Linked DNA regions of Drosophila melanogaster. The protein of the gene in region 1 purifies or fractionates together with the protein of each later gene. This does not show direct contact. Each region holds a gene or a part of one and is shown on either strand. Other genes may lie near its edges.

What was found. The genes of interacting proteins can lie anywhere in the genome.
Region 2: the proteins of Agpat3 (region 1) and CG31729 purify together in Drosophila melanogaster (affinity purification with mass spectrometry, with the first as the bait; one large-scale study listed by BioGRID). This does not show direct contact.

What each region holds. Positions count from the first base shown.
Region 1 is NT_037436.4:16,379,602-16,390,356, forward strand, and holds Agpat3 (1-Acylglycerol-3-phosphate O-acyltransferase 3), read right to left. Parts: upstream 6,209-10,755; 5' UTR 5,854-6,208; coding exon 5,827-5,853; intron 4,879-5,826; exon of another isoform or gene 4,566-4,878; intron 4,513-4,565; coding exon 4,326-4,512; intron 4,266-4,325; coding exon 3,730-4,265; intron 3,332-3,729; exon of another isoform or gene 3,231-3,331; intron 3,139-3,230; coding exon 2,781-3,138; intron 2,557-2,780; coding exon 2,471-2,556; 3' UTR 2,171-2,470; downstream 1-2,170. Other genes in the region: Agpat4 (1-Acylglycerol-3-phosphate O-acyltransferase 4), read right to left, coding at 1-26, 99-634, 870-1,035; RAF2 (RING-associated factor 2), read left to right, coding at 7,036-7,355, 7,420-9,747, 9,804-10,019, 10,078-10,276, 10,335-10,583, 10,701-10,742.
Region 2 is NT_033779.5:13,284,897-13,295,651, forward strand, and holds the start of CG31729 (uncharacterized protein), read left to right. Parts: upstream 1-5,100; 5' UTR 5,101-5,790; coding exon 5,791-6,395; intron 6,396-8,112; exon of another isoform or gene 8,113-8,182; coding exon of another isoform or gene 8,183-8,377; exon of another isoform or gene 8,378-8,519; intron 8,520-10,733; exon of another isoform or gene 10,734-10,755. Other genes in the region: Drep4 (DNA fragmentation factor-related protein 4), read right to left, coding at 1-744, 799-922, 1,274-1,513; Uvrag (UV-resistance associated gene), read left to right, coding at 2,044-2,417, 2,478-3,345, 3,409-3,731, 3,784-4,194, 4,280-4,394; CG16824 (uncharacterized protein), read left to right, coding at 8,183-8,377.

The DNA of each region.
Region 1 (10,755 bases):
AACTGGGACAGCATGGTGGGCTTTGGCTGTAAGTTAATTCAAGTTCGAAAATGTAATTTAAAATATATATACATATATATGAGATCTTAAGTTCTCACCTCGGCATTCTTCTTGAAGGCCAGATTGATGTCGTAGATGGCAGGACAGATGCCACGCATGGTGGGCAGACTGGTCGTGAATCCCTTAGTGCGCGGAATCAGATGGTGCTTGAGGAGGGGAAGACCTCGCTCCTCGGCGAACTTGACTGACAGCTCGTGTTTGGCGGGTGTGAAACGGGTGCCCTCCGCGTTCAGCAGTAGCCACACGGGATCCGGATAGGAGAAGACCTCCTTCAGCTGCGTCTTGATCACCACCTTGTCCTTCTCGAAGTTGCGGTCAAGGAAGATGAACTCGGCCATCCACCAGACCCATCCCAGGACCGGAACATAGCGCAGCATCTTCTTGGCATACGCCTTGGTGCCTCCCAGATTGCCCAGCTTGTCGGTGATCATCCAGGCGGTCAGCCAGTCGATCTCGTACGTGTGGTTCATCAGGAGCAGTCCATGCTCCTTGCCGAAGAACTTCTGCTCGTCCTGGGGATCGATGTACACCCTCAGCTTGCTGCCCGCATACCATTCCGCCACACAGACAAGGACTAAAGTGTGAGGATAGTTTTTAAATTATCAAAAAGTACCACTTTTACGTTATTTCATTTAATCATCAAATGTAAAAACTAAGTGATTTATACAAAAGAAGACCTTGCATATACCTAATCTAATCAGGAAAACAGGAAGTGTGCTGAAAACTACACTATACTTAATGTGAATGAAATGTGAAACGTTTATACTCATAATGATATGATAATCTATATTAATATGATGGTTACTTACTGCAATAGAAGGAGTAGTGCAGGTAGTAGGCCAGACTGCGGGATAGCTTCTTATCGAAGGGCCTCACGAGGAGAATCAGCAGGAGCTGGCCAATGTTGACGAAGAATCCGCATGTGAAGAAGGTCACGGCGATCAGCAGTCGCCCCAAACCCCGGAGATGCGACATCCTAGGCTAAGAATAGACGCAACTCAATAAATTCAGTCCGTTGGAGAAACGTTTACGTAATCGAAAGTCATGTCTGCAATGCAGTTCATAAATATGTCCAGCGCGCGATATCGACATTTTATTATATGGCCAGTACTCAAACTTTGCTCCCAATGTGTCATGAAAATTGAAATGCTTAAATTATAGTACCGTAAACGCACACACACCCACGCGCAACACACGGTATTGGTACAGTAGACACTAGTAATTTGAATTCTTATCGTTGGATCGGGAAAACAGTACAACGCATTTCATAATTAACTAAGATATTTTTTATTGCATAGTTCGACGAGGAAAATCGAACTAAGCTGTACAATCCTCATTTTGTTTTATCAAATTTGGTAGAAGCAATGATAATGACAATGCCATAAGTACAACTAGTTTTTGAACTCAACACGTTTCAGTTTCACTTTGCGACAGTCCACTTTCTCATTTACACACACACTCACTCACCTATCTAAGCGGAATCTTAACAATTAGAGACCAGGAAGTTGCAACTTGTTCTACCAACCAGTAGAATTCGACTGAATGAAAGTGACTCTTCTAGGCGGCCCGAGCCCCTAGTGATATGGATCTCGTCGATAGTACAACCCAGAAACCCACAACTAACACTTTTAATCACCTGTTATCAGTCAATTGGAATGGGCGACACTGCTTATCGGCGAATAAAGGCGATTTTATGCTTGGCGTGTGGTTGTATTGATCATATAGCCAAGGGCAAGCAGTCGAACTAACGGAACGTGTGCTGCTTCTGATCGTTACAACTGATAAAGAAACGAACGTGTAGGAAGAATGCTGATAAACACAAATATTTGGATAATATGCTTTGCTTATTGCTCATTTCCTTCCTGTTCAAAAGGTAACTTTTGAAAGCATTTCTGGGAATCTCAAAAACAATGTATTCGAAATTTTACATTTATTTTACACACGTATGTGTGTAATTTTCAAGTATCCAGTTTAGAAATACTGTTGGTATTTTGTGTTAAGGTCACTCTTTAGGTGCACTGCTTGCATGTCCACACTTATCAGCAGCCCTTATCAGCGCACTGCTTACCTTACGCCTTATCAAAAAACAACAACAACAAACTCACGCTCTCACGTTCTGTTTAATTTAATTATTGCAATGCTCGCCAAAATACAATTGATCAAACAATTAAATTTCCACTTAGGTGTACAACTACCAACTACGTACGCAAATTGATGGCTCCAGTGTGCGGGAGTTACTTCGTAACTATAAACTTAGACAAGAAAAACATGCAAAACACTTTAAATCGTCCGGATAGGAATCACGAATTGATCCATTTAGCAGAGAGATTTGTGAGAGGACTGCCTTTTACAAAGTCATTTGTAGATAATTGAGTTCGACGACAATCGAAACTAAATGCGAATTCGAAAGTTACTTTGCGACCGACTTGGAGGATCCATAATTAGATGCCTTGCTGATCTGCGTCTTGTTGATGGCCTGACCCATGAGCCAGTAAACTGTAACAAGAAAAAAAGAATATTAATAAGATTTACAAAAGTTAAGGTTTTGGAGGGAGTAGGAACACATTAGAACGCGGCTTATATTATTGTTATAACCATGCAGACGTCATTATATATGAACTTTAGCATTTAACACTCCAAAAAGTTCTTAAAACTTAAAGAATGAACGGCTAATGCCGTCTAAAGTGCCATCCTCCTTAAAGATCGAACCCCAAACTTACAAAGTCCCAGGACGGAAAGTGCGGTGATAAAGGCCGTCCAGTTGGCCGCCAGCAGGGATGTGATCACGTAGTAGAAAATGCAGGACAGAGAGAATACCGCCCAGCAGACAAAGTTCACGAGTGAGCACAGCCGGCGTTTATTCACATATGCCGGAACCTCCTTTATGCCGGACGTCTTAAAGAAGCTGCCCGTCTCCAGGAAGCTATCGATGATCTTGTCCTTCTCCACGAACAGGTTCTGCAGCCAGGCGGCCGCCTCCTTCTCATCCTCCGGAACCTGTTCCAGTGGAATACGCCTCATCAGCAGGTGCGGTTCCACGCTCTTTCCATGCAGCAAACTCAGCATTGTGGCGGGGGTCTGAAAGTTCAATTGCAAGTTAATTAAGTCCGGTAAATAGCCTTTTAGTAGCTAAAACTGTAGTATCTTTATAAGCATCTTTTATAACTCACTTCTGCGAGTTTAATTTAAAACCATAATAAATTTGCAATTTGCTAAATTCTATGCACTTATCATTAGAACGCCAAATTACTCAGTTAAAAAATTAAGGTTGCTATGCTGGCTAAAGTGCTAATAATACTGATGACACGTCAAAGGTAAGGAAAATAAACCAAAATAAGGAAAATAAGTTATAAAAATTACCACTTGATTAACCTTGAAATGTTTGCTCATTCTAATCGGTATCTTTAAGAGCATCGATCTTAAGAAATCGTGACTCTTAAAAGAGGCAGTGAAGTAAATGAGCAAAATAATCGGATTAAACGAAAAGAAATTTGATTAGACCAAAGCAATCAGACAGGTATTGTCGAACAGGCTGATTAGCCTTATCAAAAATATACATGAGAAGCTTTGCCATGCAGAATTCTGCATTAAATGTATGGCACAATAAAATACAGTATTATATAACTAAAGCACTTAAATGAAGTGCTTGAAGTTTGCCGTTATAATTACCTTATCTGTGGGCCTGTACGCTAGATTAATGTCGTAGATTACCGGACAGAGACCGCGGATGGGTGCCAAGCTGGCGGTGAATCCCTTGGTGCGCGGGATCAAATGGTGCTTCAGCACCGTCATGCCCCTCTCCTGGGCGAATTTTACGGATGCCTCGTGCTTGGCGGGAGTGAAGCGAGTGCCCTCGGCGTTGAGCAAAAGCCAGGTGGGATCGGGATAGGAGAAGACCACCTTGAGCTGTTCGGTGATGATGGTCTTGTCCTGGTCGAAGTTTCGATTGAGGAAGACGAACTCGGCCAGCCACCAGCCCCAGCCGATGATGGGCACGTAGCGGATTGCCTTCTTCGCATAGGCCTTGCAGTTGCCCAGCACGCCCAACTTTTCGCAGATCATCCAGCCGTTGAGCCAATCGATCTCGTATTTATGGTTCATGATCAGAAGGACGTGTTCCTTGCCGGCATGCTTCTCGAAGTCCTCCTTGTCCATGTAGACAGTCATCTTGCTGCCGGCATACCAATCGGACACGAAGATAAGTTCTAAGGGATTGGAGGTATTATGTTTCTACTTCGAATCGGAACTGGTCAGGATATACTCACGGGAGTAAAGCGAATAGCAGGCATAGTACATCAACTTGCGGAAGAGTCGCTTGTCTATGGGCTTGATAAAGACGTGCATCAGCAGCTGGATAAAGTTGATGCACAGCCCGCTGGTAAAGAAGGTGAGCGCGATGCACAGGTGTATCAGTCTCAATTGTTTCAGCTTCTCCAGGGAACCCATTTTGATCTGCAAATAGCGATGTTTAACCAATAAAACGGCTGTCTTTACGTAATCACTACTTTAATTGTAGGTTGTTCTCCCGGTAGTGCTCGTAAACCCGCACTTTATGGTCCCAACGGTGGAACACCTAGTTTATGACCACTACACAAGGTCCCGCACTCACACAAGAGCTGCGTTTTCTTCAATTAAAAGCACGCGGCCAAGTTAAAAGAAATCGTGAAATCCGGGAAGGCAACCACCTGCACCACCAGCTGGCAATGGACTGGGGCAACCGCCGCACGGCAGAGATATTCGCCAGATATCAGCGGGAGCTATAGCCCATAGCCCTATAGGCTATAGCTTTTGCTAAGGCCGCTGCCGGAGGAGGAATCTAATCAGCCTTGGCCAATCGATGACTTCTCCGTTGGAAATAGCTACAGCCGCTGTGGACAAAGTCCGCCTGTCCGACGGATAGTCATTATGGGGCAGATACTCGCACTTCACAGTGGAAGCTCGCGAAAGTCAATAATCTTTAGAATGAGTGGGTTTATGGGGACCAAAGTGTGCAAACAGTTTAGCAAAAAATTGATGACAGTTAGGTGTCATTTTTTACATTTTGTACATGGAGATGTTTTAAAAAAGTACTAAAGTTTTACGACCGTTTTAATTATGAGTAAAAACGACAACTTTAAAACTTTAAACTAATTAAATCATTTCATTAAGGCGTTTAGCTATTCATATTTCTTATTAAATAATACTTGGCTTCGGATATTTTAGATATTTCAATTTAAGCAAATTTAAATAAGTTTCGAAACGATTTTCGGATTTTAAATAAACTAAAGTAATAGGTATTATATATTGAGATTATTATTTAAATGATCATGATTTACTTAAATTATGATTTAAAACATGTCAGCGGATAAAGTTTATCAAAGAAGTTTTTATTTGTATTTCTACAAAGTTATAAACAATGGTTGTAAAACGACCAATGATAAAGGTCAATCTTTTGTTTTGACACGTAATATAAAACTGGGACTGCATATATTTACATGCACAATGGAACGCACTACGTTTTTGTAATAGAAATGAATGCATTCAGTTGACAAGCACTGCTTTTTTTAAATTTCTTATTTCTTCCTATGATAATGGGATTTAAATCCAATGAAAAAAGGAGTACTTTTCATGCCATTTCTTATGCACACCGCCATTAGCTGAATCAACCGAAAATTCGCCGGGCCGAATTGATTGTATTTTTGATGCACTCAATTGGTGACCCCGACGTTGATTGCTGAACCCATTGTATTGAATTAGTTTACTTTTTCGATCGTCCACTTTACATACAACAAAAGAGTTCTTGTGCACGACCATGCGATTGTGTGCGTGTGAGCATGCATATACGTATGCATGTGCTCAGCTGGCGCACGTGTGCGAGTGTGTGTGTTTGGGAGAGGCGTGGGGTGGCGTGACGTGGTTAACATTTATGGTTATCAGTTCGCGATCTGCAAGGCAATAGCCACCCACAAACGATCAATAAACAAAGTCCTATTTAAAGGTATGTCTATCTGCAGCTGCGCCGTTCTTATCGGTTATTCCCTGTTACGCATATGCACATATATATACAGACACTGTCGGTCGTGCCCTTTGTTTACGAGTGTCACTGGGCGGGAATCGGTTGCTAAACACTGGTCACTACTATATGGTTATCACTCGGCGGCGTCGTGCCCGCCATTTACCTTTTTGGCAATGTTTTTGTGCGAATTGATTTGTTTTCTTTTGTAAGCCAAACGGTATGACCGTTCGAGTGCAATGACGATGACACCGGTGAACAAACGGAAAATCGCCACTTTTGCCTTTAGTATTTTTCAATATTTAATATTTGCCACCAGGGCTGTCAGGTTGCAATGTTGTAAAGGAAATCTGAATAATTTGGCTAACGATCTGCACTACAACTTATAGCTTATTAATGATTGATTTTTGATCTACGCTAACTTTTCCATAAATCAAAAAATGAAACTCTAGTGAGTAACTTATTCTAATATAGTTATTTGGTTTTTAGATATGAAATGACCGAATACCCCGAAACTAGTAATATTTAATAAGATTACTAGATTACTTTAATTTAATAAGATTAAAAATTTGTTTGCTTGGTTTACCTAACTAAGAACTAGTTGGAAGAACATATTTTATTCAGTATTATTTAAAGACTTTCCCAAAAGTGGTTACCCTATTGGTTTGCGTCCATACTAAATGCCTGTCAAAATTATTCGCAGAATTGAACGGCGAATTTTTTTTCGCATTTGGAAATTGGATTTTTGCTGAAAGTAAACGCTTTAAAACTGGTATAAACCCGAATTAGCCTATTTGGGGACTTGGGCCATTGTTTTAAGTGGTTTTCAGCAACTGAAAAGGTGAGCCCGTCGGCGGATTAGAATATTCAACCGGCAGACGATTTTTTGTTGGCCAAAAATTTGCAGACGTGAGCGCGTGAGTTTTTGAGGGGGTTAATGCCAAAAGATGTACATACCTGACCGTCGTCCAGTTGCAGGCCTAATGTCCAACGAGATCTACGACTCCTCCAATTCGCAGCTAAGTAGCGACGAGTATAGCCACGAGGAGGAGGAATACGACGCTCTAATGGACGCGGCGGTGAGCAAGCAACGACCCCAAAAGACAAAATCCAAGGGATCCGAGTCCGAGAAACCCGGAAATGGAGCTCCAGAATCGGCGGCTGCCACTGAGAAAAATGAAAAGCCAGATGACGATGCGGTGCCACCTTCCACGCGCTCAGAAACAATTCGGCGGATCCGGCAATTGCAGTTACAGCGTGGCAGGCTGCCCAATCTTTACTTCAAGCGTCGCAGTATTCGTTGGTAAGGCTTACTTCCCAAAGAACCTACTGAAACTGTAATCCTATCTTATCCGATCACACTTCAGGCTGCGACCCAATAAAATGGACTACAACAGCTATTTTGACGGCCTGAAGGACTTGCTGCCCAAGCGTAAATTGAAGCACCTGGTTCGCTTCCATGACAGGCAGCGCAGAACCTACGACAGCAGGAGCATCAGTCGTAGTCGCAGCCACAGCCGCAGTCTTAGCCGAAGTTGCAGTCGCAGTCGTAGTCGTAGCTATTCTCGCAGCCGCAGCGGCAGTGGTTCGCCGGAACTCATTTGCCTTGACGACACGGAGAACGAGGATTCGCCTGAGAAACCAGAGCAAGAGCCGGCAAGGGTTACGCCCATCAAGGAAAATAAGCCTACGCTTCCGGCTCCACCCCAACTAAACTACGAGCTGCCAGAAAGGAAGAAAGCAAACCCACTTGGAAACAACGAAAACGGTGCCTCTATCCTCGACGAGTTCCTGGTAAAGAAGGATCCCCAGGAACCGGTCTTCGACTACGGTAAACTCTCAGCGTGTCGGGAATTGGAACAGGCTCTAAAGGACCGGTCGCGAGATGCGCCAAATGAGGCAGAGTCGCTTGTGGTTGATGCCACTCTTAAAAGACGCCGTTCGGTAACACCGCCCGCTAGCGAAGAGAAGCGCAACAATGAAGTCGAGGATGATAATATAATTGGGTTTTCAACGGTGCAGCAACAGAAGCCAATGGAGGCAGCTCCACCATTAAATCTAAGAATGCCCACCACTCCATCGACTAATCCTCTTCAGCGTCAGCAGGCTTTTAAGCTGAGCACACCGTATACCCTGGCTCCGCCTACTGCCGCCAAGCAAGCTGACACTTACAGTTTAAATACTCCACCGCCAACGGCCACCCAAATGCAGATATCCTATCCCAACGAAAAGCTGTCAAATAACATGAAAGCTAATGCGACTTTCTCGATTCAACAGACAGCTTTATCCCAAGTCGCTGCATCCTATGCTGCTGCACCACAAGTGGCTGCCCTCGCGCAGAGAGCTCCATCTCAGGTTGCTCCACTACAACAAGCCCCCGTGCAACAGATGCACTTCCCAAGATCAGTTCCACCGCAGCAGCTTCCTCCACCACAGCAGCGAGCTCCTCCACAGCAACTGGCTACAGCTCCATTCGCTCCACCACGGCACCTGGCTCAACATAGACCATCTCCACAGCAGCTAGCTCCATCACAGCAGCTGGCTCCACCACACCAGCTAGCTCCACCACACCAGCTAGCTCCACCACAGCAGCGAGCTCCGCCACAGCAGCTAGCTCCACCACACCAGCTAGCTCCACCACACCAGCTAGCTCCACCACAGCAGCGAGCTCCGCCACAGCAGCTAGCTCCGCCACAGCAGCTAGCTCCACCACAGCAGCTAGCTCCACCACAGCAGCTAGCTCCACCACAGCAGCTAGCTCCACCACAGCAGCGAGCTCCGCCACAGCAGCGAGCTCCGCCACAGCAGCTGGCTCCGCCACAACAGCGAGCTCCCACACAGCATATGGCTCCACCACAACATATGGCTCCGCCACAGCAGCTAGCTCCAACACAGCAGCTAGCTCCTCCACCACAGCAGCTAGCGCCTCGACCACAGCAGCTAGCTCCTCCACCACAGCAACTAGCTCCTCCACCACAGCAGCTAGCTCCTCCACCACAGCAGCCAGATTCATCAAGACCAGCTTCGGTGCAGCCGTTGACCCCTCAAAGGCATGCTAGTCCACATCAGCTTGCCCAATCACAGCAGGTCCATCAATCGCCATCTCAACTGCATCCTGTTCCAGTGGCTGCTCCCAACTTTGCGGTGCCCCAACAGCCGCAACCCCGTCGATCGGAAACGGTGAGCACCCAGACGCAGGGCTTGGGGTCACCAGCGGCTTCTTCTTCGACAACCCGCCAAAAGTCATTCGTTGATCTCAATAATAGTGATGCAAACTTCCATTATCGCGTCAAAGAACTTTTCGATGAATTGAACTCGACAATGATTGATAAAATTAACTCGGTACCCCCTGATGAAGATTCATTGAAAAAAGAGCGCGAACGCATCGTTGCGGATCTTGCAGCCCTAGATAAGCTGATGGCCCAGAAAGAGGATGAATATAACCGACTGCTGTATTTGAGCTGCATTAAGAAGGAGCTGCATGAACGAATGGAGCGAAAGGAGCGCTTGATACGTATTAAGGACCTACTGCCCATCCTTATCAACAAGTGCGGCACCAAGGAGCTCAGTGAGGTAAAGGCTATGCTAGAAGAGGAAATCGATTCTCCAATGGCCTCCAAACATAGTTTGTCGGCAATTGAAAAATTACTGAATTACGCCGAGTTAAACCAGAACATCATACAGCTTCTGCGGGGGTAAATCTTTAAATGTTTAATTCTGAGAATCCCAAGTTAAAATTGATCGTTTTCAGTTCCTTGGGCTTAAATAAACGCGCACCGTCCGTGTCTCCGGCCAATTTCGAGGATGACCAAATGCTTTTTCGTAGAGATTCCTTGCCCGTAAGTCATCTATCAATGCGGGATCAGCATTACGAATCTCGGAATGCGGTAAATGACCATCTGCTAGATAGCAATCCAGACAGAGATCCGCCAGCCAAGCGACCGAAGCTAATCCACTCGCAAGACAGGTGAGAAAATACAAATAATATACTAGAACATATTATTTTAACGTCATATAATTTATAGTAACCAGGACATGGCAAGCTCCTCGACACATTTGTCAGCCAATCTTTCAGAGACGCTTCGCAAGATTAGGGCTTGGAAAAATTATTCGCATTTTAGTAACGTCTCAATGGAGGACAATAATTCGGATAATGAATCACAGATCGAACCGCTGTTCAACAGCAGTCCGATGGCCTCCCGTCGCCAACTGGCCAATAGACAGGTATGCACTTAATCACAATATTTTTTGACATTCCGCGAAAATAAATGTTTCTATTCAGTCCTACCAAGAACAACATTCCGCTAATATCAACGACCATGAGAATGTCCAAAAGAGGCACAAGTCTCACAAGCGCAAGTCGCATAAGCACAAGTCTCACAAGCATAGGAGCTCCCATAAGTCCCAGGCTGAATCTTCCGCCACCATCAACGGTAACACAGGTAGACAATGCCACGAGTGCAAGCTCTATGGAGCCACCTTTATGTGCTCCAACTGTCAGAATCAATGGTACTGCAGTCGTGAATGCCAGGTAAGCATTGTAGGATTTATTATGTATTTTATGCATTTTTTTAAATTGTTTTATCCAGTGACGCATTGAAGGAAAAGTACTCATGTTTACCTATCTTTTATAATACATTCGTTATAGCTGAGCGATTGGGACACACATCACCGAACTTGTGGCATTTAAATAGACTTCACTT
Region 2 (10,755 bases), on another chromosome or scaffold:
CCACATTTGCAACAAGTGCGGGAAGGATTGTGCGGCACAGTTCGATTTGGTGGTCCAGATTCCAGACCTGAAACAAAATGAGATTCTCACGCGAAGCGTACGGATTAATAGTGTGCTGCTTAGAGCAGCTGTTGCCATTCTCCGAATAGGAGCCCTGGCAATAGAAGTCACCCAAGTCGGAGCACAAGGAAGTGGACCATTCGTCGAGGATGCAGTTTTCCTTGGTGTACTCCCTAATCACCTGCCTCAGTCTCTTGCTGGGTATCCTGCCAGCGTCTGTTTCCTCGTCGCCCAAGTGCTGCTTCAGGAATTCATGCTTTTGCTTGCAATTCCGGTCAAACATCATGGAGAAAAAGTCGCAACCGATGAGCAGGTATCGAAACTTCTCCAGCACAGAGTTTATCACTTGTCGGGCCTTGGCATTTTGGCGGTACAAGGGATTGCGGGTCAGCTCCTCCTTGGCCTTATAGTAGTAGCCTCGCACACGTGTCTGGGCACGTGTGGCCATAGCTTCCTCCTTAGAGTGGAAGCGCTCCTCGCCGCCCGTGAACCACTCCACGTGCTCGGCCTTTAAGCTGAGGTGGGTCTTGCTGTTATCCAGGACGCGTCGCTGCTTTTGGTGTTCATACTCCGTTATCATGCGGCGGAACTTTTCCGGATGCTGTTCGATAAAATCGTAGAAAATGTCAGCCACCTTTAGCAAAGGCGATTGTTGTCGCATCTTCTCAAACTCAAAATCGGCATCTAATAGAAGACAGATTAATTGTGATTAAGTTAAATATTTAAACTGCAGCTCACCTGTTGTAATGACTGCATCCGGGCCAGACACTATGAACAGCGTCTGGGCGGGTAGGCTTTTTAAGTACTCATCGTCGGACACCTCGAAGCCATCAGAAGCCAAATACAAATGTGGCTCGAGAAGCTAAAAGGTAAAAAAAAAACGATTTAATTGTAATGCCCTTGACATGGCCGAATTATAACGAGGCCAGGTCGCCCAATTCCTGGTTCAGGGGCCTTCAGTTTGTTTCACATTTCTCTTTTTTTTTTTTTGCCAGGCAAGGACGTTCCATCAACAGGTGGTTAGCTCTACTATACAGGACATGCGCATTGGCATTTACTAGTGGCATTGAAAGAGAGCCAAACAAACGCGGAAGCCACTGCCAGGGACATGGCCTTGAAAATTACCAGAGCCAGGAACTTTCAGCCCATCTACGTGGGTGGGTGTATATTTCGCGCTTTTACGCAGGAGTTTTTCCTGTTTTTTTTTTCTTACCGGGAACTTGCTTTTTGCCTTGGCTATCAGCATTTCCAGGGAATTGGCTCCGATTCCGTATTTCCTCGTTCGCTCGTTGTCAGTAACCTTGTAGCCACGCATTGGAGCACCTGCTGTTCCCCTGGATTCGGATGAGCTCACATCCTTGAGAACTTCGCCTGTTGGCTGGCTGCTTTTCTTGTTATTCGAGCTGCTGCGTGTTGTCGGTGACATGATTGCATCTCTAATGTAGCTGATCATCGTTCTGGCTCATAATAAAGTCAACTTTGGAATGTAGTCCTCGCAGCAAGTTTCCTTATCCGCGGACAAAGCAAAATAAACTAGCAGAACAAGGCATTTTTCGCGCTTCTCAACACTAGATTCTCATTGAAAGATTCTTTAGTTGTGCTGCAATTTTAGCTAAAAATTGCAAAAAGCTATATAATAATAATTTATTTTTTCCCGTGTTTTGTAATTAACGAAATATTTTTTATATTTTTATTAATCAATTCAAATTGATAAAATTTTCATTTATTCTTAAATTAAATAATGTGTAAATTAATAAAATGAAAATAGCCAAATTAATAAAATACAAGTTGAACGGCGCATTTCCCACCACTATTGCCTTCAGTGTTTTGCAGCACTTATGCATCTAAAAACAGCTGTTCGGGTAATCATTTTTTTTGTTAAAAGTTTCTGTGGAAAAACTATAACAAACGTAGTCTTAGTGTACAATGATCTGGGCTACGGGCTCCGCGTAATCCGCAGCTCACCCGGAAAGGCGTTTTACGATGAATCTACGGCCGCGATGCCGCAAGTGGCTGCCCCTAGCCACCCAGCAACTTCGACTGCGGAACCTTAACAGAATTCAGGGATTCAATATTGAGTCCTGGCCGCATGAGAAGTCGCTGGAGCTAGATGATCCGGATGATGTGCTCCTCTACTACACACTACACACGGACAAGGCTAGCGAAGCGTTCTACACCAGCGAAAAGCTGCCGCAGCGTCACCAACAGCAAAAGTGGGCGGAGATTTGTACGGACGACGAGGCCTGGCGGAAAACCAATGCGCAGTGTGTCTGTGTCAAGGTGTGGAAGCACTATTCGGCGGAAAGAAGAGATGGCCAACCGCCTGAGGTTGAGCAAAGACATAAGGATGTTTTCGGGTAAATAGGAGACTTTGCTTGCAAATAGAACTCTGCTATCATCAACCAACTTACTTCCAGAAGATCCCAGTTAACGCCCAGCAGGCTGCCACGCCCTCCTGAACTACTGTTCAGCTGGGGCGTCTACTTCTCCGGCCTTATACCTCTGTCTCCCCTCACATTGTCCCAGTGCGGACGAAATTGCTTGGTCTTTCAATTGAATGGCGAGCAATTTGCCTCCCCGTCGATGATAAGCGAGCAGGCCTTGCAGTCGCAGCTGCATTTGCACTACCAAAAGTATGCGGAGGAAGAGAAACTAGAAGAGCCGCAGGATGAGGGCATAAACTCGCCGGCCGTTAGTCGTAGTTCGAGTCCCGTGCTGCGAATGAGTACGATGCGCTATGCACAGCTGAAGTGCCAACGGCAGGAGATTCGGCGAAGCAACAACCTCGAAAAGCTTCTCACGTTGCAACGTCTGCAACGCTTGCATCAGCAGAAGCGGCGTCAAATGGCCGAGGTTTGCCGAGAAATAGCCCGCCTCAGTGTACACTGTGTGACCAGGAACGAGCTGCGCTTGAAGCCCCGCACGACATCGCTGTCCGGCGACTACTCCGCCCATCAGTACCATTCCATGGGCCGCGCCCTGAGCGTGTTGCTCGCCGAGCAGCAGCAGATCGCGCCCCTCACGCTTTATAATGCCCAGCAGCTAACTAGAAGGATAGAAGCGCTAAGCAGTCAACAGCGGCTACTTAAAGCGGAGCGGGAAACGTTTCGCCAACGAAACGAGCGCACCCGTCAACTTCTGAAGGAGATGAGAGAACAGCGGGAGGCACAGCAATGGGAGCTCCACAGCCAGCGACATCGACTGGAAAAAGAACGTCTGGAGCTACGAACCCTGGCACCTCAACATCTGGAACAGCGCGATCAAAAAAGACAAATAGAACGGCAGGTGGGGCTGCGGAATCAAATAACATTAAACAAGTATATTAATAAACCTTTTCACCCTTTTAAGGTGGAGCGCCGAATGTCCACACTGGTGTTGGAGCTACAGGAGATCTATAACATCCAGAATGTGGGCGGTCGGCAATTTAGTATCTGCGGCATCGCCTTCCCCCACATGGAGCAATACACGAGCGAGTCACGTCAGGCGGCAAACGCACAGCTTCTGGATAACGTCTCGCCGCTGGCAGTGAGTGCGGCACTGGGTTATGTTGCCCATTTGGTGCAGATGTTAGCCATCATTATGGATCGACCTCTGAGGAACCGTATTCTGTACGAGCCATCGAAAGCAAGGATAGTGGACGATATCAAAGAGTTGACGTACACAACAAGAGAGTAAGCACACAGACTAAATATTACCTTTTGGTATCTTATTGTTCCATCTTAGATTTCCTCTGTATACACGCTCCATTTTGCCGTCGCAGCAAACAAAGTATGCCATCTACCTTTTGCGCCAGAATGTTTCGCAGCTGTGCTTCGACATCACGGGCCAGTGCGATCTGCGAAACACTTTTGGCAATCTGCTGGAGCTATTCAGCACTCTTCGCTACATCGAACGAACGCAAAGGGATGAGGTCGACGAACGGGATGGAACTGCAGTTGGAGCTGGCTGTGGAGAAGCACGCTTGGCAAATGGGTTGACGGCGCCGCACCTGTCGCAATCGCACTCTTCGGTCGACATGAATCATGTGCCACTGCCGACTGGCGTCAATGCGGTCAAGGATGCACTGCTCCAGCAGCTGTTGCCGCCGGGTGTGAGTGAGGCACTGGCAATCGAAGGCTATGCGTCAACTCAACGGTAATCTATATATACATATATTTAGAGCCAAAAACAAAAACTACCGGATAAAATTTAATAATAATATATTGTAATATTCTTGCAGCATTTGCCGTTCGGTGGGGTCCTATTCAGATGGCGAGGATGAGTTTCGCCCGCGACTGGAGCATAACTATTCCAATTCGGACTCCAACATAACTCTGCAAACTGAGCGCAGCTGAGCTAATGCACCCAAAAGTGTTATATTTCCAGCGTTTATATCCAATATCCAAGATAGCATTGTTTAGCGGCTCCTCCTCAGCGGGTTTCTTGGTATTGGCCGCGTATTGTATACTTTTAAATTATAAAAGTCAATGGTGAAGTATATGTGAACGGTAGTCCATTGCGATAATATTATTTTTAGTTGTTTAAGATCTCTGTGTAAATTCCCTTTTATTGTTTGTTTGCTAATATAAGCTACGAATAAAGATTAAATATTTTATACATGACAAATATTTATTTAATATGGATGACAAACATTAGAAACACGTCGATAGAGATTAAGTCGAACAATATCCAAGGTCACAATAAACGAAGTGGTTACGATGCGGAAAACCTAAGCCTTTCTTCATATGTTCTGAAATAATGCTGAGCCCCAAAATTAGTTTATTTGTATATTCTGTTTGAAAAGTATTTTTATGAGTTTTAATTATAGTTTGAATTAGGCGCCAAAAAGTGTTGCAAAGTATGAAGATAAATTGCTCCTTTAACTTATAAAAATTATACCATGTGCTACTGTTACTACATAATATTGTACAATCTGCTTATATTAACTTTTGCTTTATAATTTAAAATGTAAGTTTTGCTTTAAATCCTTAATAAACTCAAAATATTACAGCCACTGCTTGGTCAGTGCTGCAAAACGTTCCGTTCCGTTAACAGTGGTCTGTAAAGCCAGCTGATTAGCATTTCGCCAAAATTATTTCGCTGGCAACTTGCTTCCGGGATTTGAATGTTTTTCGGGCTACATCCGGGCTATTAATAAATAAAAAATGTGTTGTCAAATACCCAAACAACGTCCAAACGTAGTGCGATAATCGATTTAATAATTGAAAACGCGAAAAGCCTGCAAACCAACGTGCTAAATGAAGTGCATGTGCATATGTGTGTGTGGCCCGGGCCTTGGCCTTTTATTTATCGAATTCGTATCAATTAAATTAAAACGCTGAGCAATAGTAGGCAATTGGTATTTATGGTGACGATTTGGTAGCCGGCAACTGTAGCCACTGATAAGCGGACGACGGGGAATGCCTGTGATTTACGCGTATATATAGTGTGTTTACCCTACCTGTTTACCGCTCAAATAAAAAATAAAAGAATAAAACTCCAGGTGTGATAAGGAGCAGCCGTCGTTCACGCCTGAAAATTGCTCAATGGAAACGTGGCAATAAGACTAACTGAGTACCCAGCATTTAATTTTTCTGAGATAATATCATCTGAAAGTGAGAGTAAAACTGCATTTCTGGTGCTAATTAGTTAAATTCAGGCGCCAAAACTCTTTCGAACAGCTCTTTTAATCAAAACTTATTACTTTAAGCTGACTACGCTTGCTCTCTTTTAAGCTCTCTTGTTTTGAAAATGGCTGAGAGCAATGTACCGCTACGAGATTTCGACGAAGAGAGCGAAACGGATTCGGAGACCGAATTGCTCATACGCCGCGATGTACCGAGCGGTAAACAGAACAACAACAACATTAGGGGGCGACGCAAAAGCTCCATGGGCTACAGCGGCGTCGACGCCGGCGCTGGCAGCTCTGCCGCCGGCGGCGGAGGCAGCTTTCTGGGCAATCTTTTCGGATCCAACAGTTTTGGCTCTGCCGCCGGCCAGATACGTTATAGAAATGAGCGGAGTCGCGAGCGCGCCAAACACTCAAACGGTAGCTACAGCAGCATTTCGAAACTGGCGCAATTAACGCACACGTCATCGGGCGTCGCGGGGGCGGGATCGATCGGTGGCGGTGGTGGTGGGAGTGGCAGTGCCACCGGCATTAAAGTAACCACTGGCGATGGCAGTGTAGCGGCATCTGGAGGATCTGCTGCCACGGGGGATCTCAGCAATGGCGCTACGCACAGCACAACCGTCATAGATCCGGAAAATGGCTCATCCACGGTCTTCTACCAGCACAATCGGCGTAAAAGCAAGAGTCGCAGCATTGGCAACGTCTGCAAGTTGTGCCTCTGCAGGTGAGTGTGCATTCGGTGCGATCCAGTCGTTACCCTCCAATGCCAACGCTGCGTATGCGCAATATTTCCATTTCACTGCTGCAATAGTTGGCGGCAGCGGGAGTAATGCGAAAGTATATAGTGCCGCAACAGCTGTTCACTGGCCAGCAAAATATTGGGAATTCAAGTGTTACCTTTAGGGAAAATGGTTAAATGTTTTATATTTTCGCACATAAGCGTTTAATGGCGATTGAGACCCTTTTACTTTTACCACAAGGTATTGAATAAATTATAACTATAGCAGGAAGCAAAAGTTTTAATCTATCACATTAAGACCTCGAAAATTTGTATATTTTTGAAGAAATATTATCTCTTATCGCTTCAATTTAAATGTCTTATGAAATAAATTAGTTTTGTGGAATTTTATAATCTGTGTTTCCGTAGATAGTTGACTTTGAACGTAGAATACCATTGCTCATAAAATGCTGACAACACTAGGTATAAAACTGTTTTTCATCGTAAACTTCTATAAATAATTGAAATGTATATTAAATATTTGGCAAGAAAAAACGTTGACCTCTGTAACGTTCTAGACATTCTATCACTTTCGCAACTCAACAGTTGTTATGGCAAACAAGTTGTTGTTTTGTTTCTGCCACTTGAAATATTTGTTTATTATTTTTTGGCATGAGCCAAATCATTGTGTGGTTTCCCAAAATGAGCAGCGTTGTCTTGCAATTTGATGTTCTTCTTAACTTAGAACTTTTACGAAACACATTTCCAAGAAAATAAATTCTAGCTGAATGTGTGAGAATTTGTGCGCCACACATGTGTGACATACACAATGAATGCAACTGTATGTAAAGCATATATGTATAGCATATATATATAACGATTCCAAGATATATTTTTAATTTACCTAATTAGAGAGAACTTTTGAGAAAGGCCGCACATGCGAACAAGCAAGCACGTCTGTAAGTGGATCGTAGAAAGAAAATTAAAAACATTTCGTTTTCTGCGCGCCGTCGACGGACTGTGCAAATCGATAAACGTGACGACTTCCAAGACTGGGGGAAAAGATTTCGACGAATGGAAAATAATAACAAAAACACGGCTATAAATAGTGGCCAAGACGAGCGACTTGGTTGGGTGACAAGGCATAAACGAAACGCAAACATTGCCATCCATGCCCCGCCTTTCCTTGCCATTTCCTTGCTCCACACCCACTAAGCGAGCGTTTTTCTTATTATTTTGTTTTGTTTTTGTTTTAGAGTACAAACTCTTGTTGCCGCAAAACTTTGGCCAAAAATATCACACACAACACCACCCGTTAGCTGTGCATTTTTAATCGATGTTTGCCGTGCGACTTTAAGCCCCATTGGTGGGCGAACGAAAATAAGAAACATGAACGAAAACGACTCAAGAAGTCACCAAGAAATGCTAAAAAATTCGAAAACCAGTTCCTCAGCTGGTTTTGGCCACACAACACAATCTTGTATTCAAGGTTTCTAAAAAATACAAACGAGTTGCACACAAGAAGTGAGTCGCTTTAGGGTTTTTAGTTTTACTTTTTCGGTCGGACTCTGCTTTCTGTGTTAAAAATTGAAAGTTTCTCTGCCGCCCAACTTCAAATAATTGCAGCATAGATCTGCAGATTGATATGGTTATTTAAACTTCTAAATTTTCTATGTTGACAAAGCGTTTCCTTATGTGAACATCTATTTGTCACTTGAATGTGAAAAAAGTAAACATTGACAAATACTGATATAGAAATCGACAAAAGTGGGAAAAGACAATAGCAAGTCAGAATGGCTGGACGCGAGGGCGGTAAGAAGAAGCCTCTAAAGGCGCCCAAGAAGGACTCGAAGAATCTAGACGAGGAGGACATGGCCTTCAAACAGAAGCAGAAGGAGCAGCAGAAGGCTATGGAGGCGGCCAAGGCAGGTGCCTCCAAGAAGGGACCTCTTCTTGGCGGCGGTATCAAAAAGTCCGGCAAAAAGTGATCCATTGCCACACCTTCATCTGTATATCTTGGCATATTCAAAACACACCAATGTGGACCAACTTTTATTATCCCTTGAATTGAAGTCTTCACGTTATTGTACAGCAAATTACTGAAAAAACATATAACTTTTGGTGTTTGGTATTTGTCTTCATCTCCAAATTCAATACTTCAATGTCATTTTTTGCCTTTGATGTGCGTCTTTAACTCGTTATCGCCCACTGACCACGAAAATATCTTGAAGCCTTTACACATTCAACTTCTCCTCAAGGTTTCCTTAATCAAAGCCTAGCTGTTTTCGGGGCGCTCGAAACTTTTCTCGGGTTTTTCGTTACATTTTGTTCACGCTCAACTCCAATTGCCGCCGTTTCGGTTATATGAGGCTCAAAGATTTCGACAGGCCGATTAGAATTGCAAAGTGAGGCGCCATGCGGCACAATTTGGTTGGTGTGATTGTTGTTGCCACGGTGGCCACTGTGGTGGAACCAGCTATCTTCCAAAAATATTCCATTGCTCTATCAAGTGAGAGAGCTACTGATAACCTAAGGTGCTTGTCTTTTACAAGGCAAGTAACTTGGATTACTTACTAAATTTCAGTTAAATTTTGAAAACAGTTCAATAATCTCCTGAAGTCTCTAATCAATCACTTAAGCTAATTGTAATGGCTACAACCAAAGCCATTACCACCAGCTGACAAAAAAACTTTTCCCAAGCTTTTTTCACTTAGCCGCATCCAAATTAGTGCGCCACGCCCCCCAACCCCCCTGACCACCCTCGTGGACGCCACAAACTGTCAATGGTAACGCCTAATGTTATTATTTTCTAGTCGCCGTTAGCTGTTTATCTAGTTGCGAATGCAAATGGCTGGGAACAGAAAAAGCCATGGCAAAACCGGGGGCTTGGAGGCTTGAGCGGTGAAATGCCTCAACGATTGACGCCCGCAACTTGGCCTGGCATTGTTTTCCACCCACCGGCAATGTGGGTTAATAACCAAAAGGCAGAAGGCAGAAGGCGGCGCAAGTCACACTATTCATGGCTCACCTCATTCCAATCCGGTTACCCGTGAAAGGGTATATTGTACACGTGTTAGCGTTCCACTCCCGCCCGAATAGCCAACCATATTTGCCTTTTTCCGCAATCGCCATATGTGCATATGGTACATATAGCAATATGTACATTTTCGCTTTTCAAAAATAATAATATATTATCGCTAGCCAAAGTTGCAGTTCATTTGAGGATTTTACAAAATTTCCGTGATGTAAGCTCAAGAAACTGGAACAAAATAATTAGTAATCCATAAAATATTTATGTACAAGTACTAATGAGTAAAGCAGCCGTTCGATTTAAAAAAAATAATATTTTTAAATAATTCATATTTTTGAATTTAAGCTGGTATGACTGTAAAGTAATATATTTAAGGGTTTTTAAGCCTGATAAGTATAAGTAGCAAGTAGCTGTAGGTAATTGTAATATATACAAAATAAAAAATAACTCAAATTTCTAGCTATAGGTCATTTTAAACACATTTCTGAGCCCTCAATTATGTAGTTTACTTGTGAAAAAACTTGTAAATAGTTTTCTTTGTGGCACACAGCCAATAAATAAAAACGGCTGAAGAAGTTTAAAGGAATAAGCAATGAGTAACCGATAGGCTATGCATAAATAACACAAATCATGTACTCGTGTACTTAGAAAAAACTATATCAGTGAAAAATAGTTTTTCCCCTGACAATTTCGTGGCTTTTTATGTTTGATAAACGGGGTTTCGGTTAAAAAGAATTTTAATGGGCTTAAATGAGTTTTGTTTCATTTTACATGCAATAATTTTCAGCTTTTACAAACCAAAGTAGTATTCGAATCTTTTATTATTGTTTTGATCTGGGTCAAAGATAATGCAATGCTATCAAGCCACAGAACTGATAAAAATATTTATCTTATACACCCATTTAAAAGATTTTCATTCGATATAATTATATGTCATCCATATCCACAGCTCTATTATTCTTATATGTATGATATTAAAACGTAAAGTTTTTAAATTATAATTGTTTATTTTCAAGTAATAGCGTAAAACGTGCATTTTTGAATCATTAAAAATGGGAGATCAAAAACTTGAAATCTCGAAATTTATAATGCCGAAAATGTGCACACTTGCAAAAATCTCGTTACTAGCAGCTGGTTAAATATATATTTAATAGGAAAGGCGGAAAACAATATTTGCTTGAGAAGTAGCATGGAATCCAAACTGCTGAGGTCTACAATTCGTTTTGAAATTTCCAGTTAATTACTCAGAACGAAACGAATTGCGGCAATTGTTTGTTATGGCCACTGCAATTGTTGACGATTGCATTTCAATTCAGTGGGTAGACAGGATGAGAT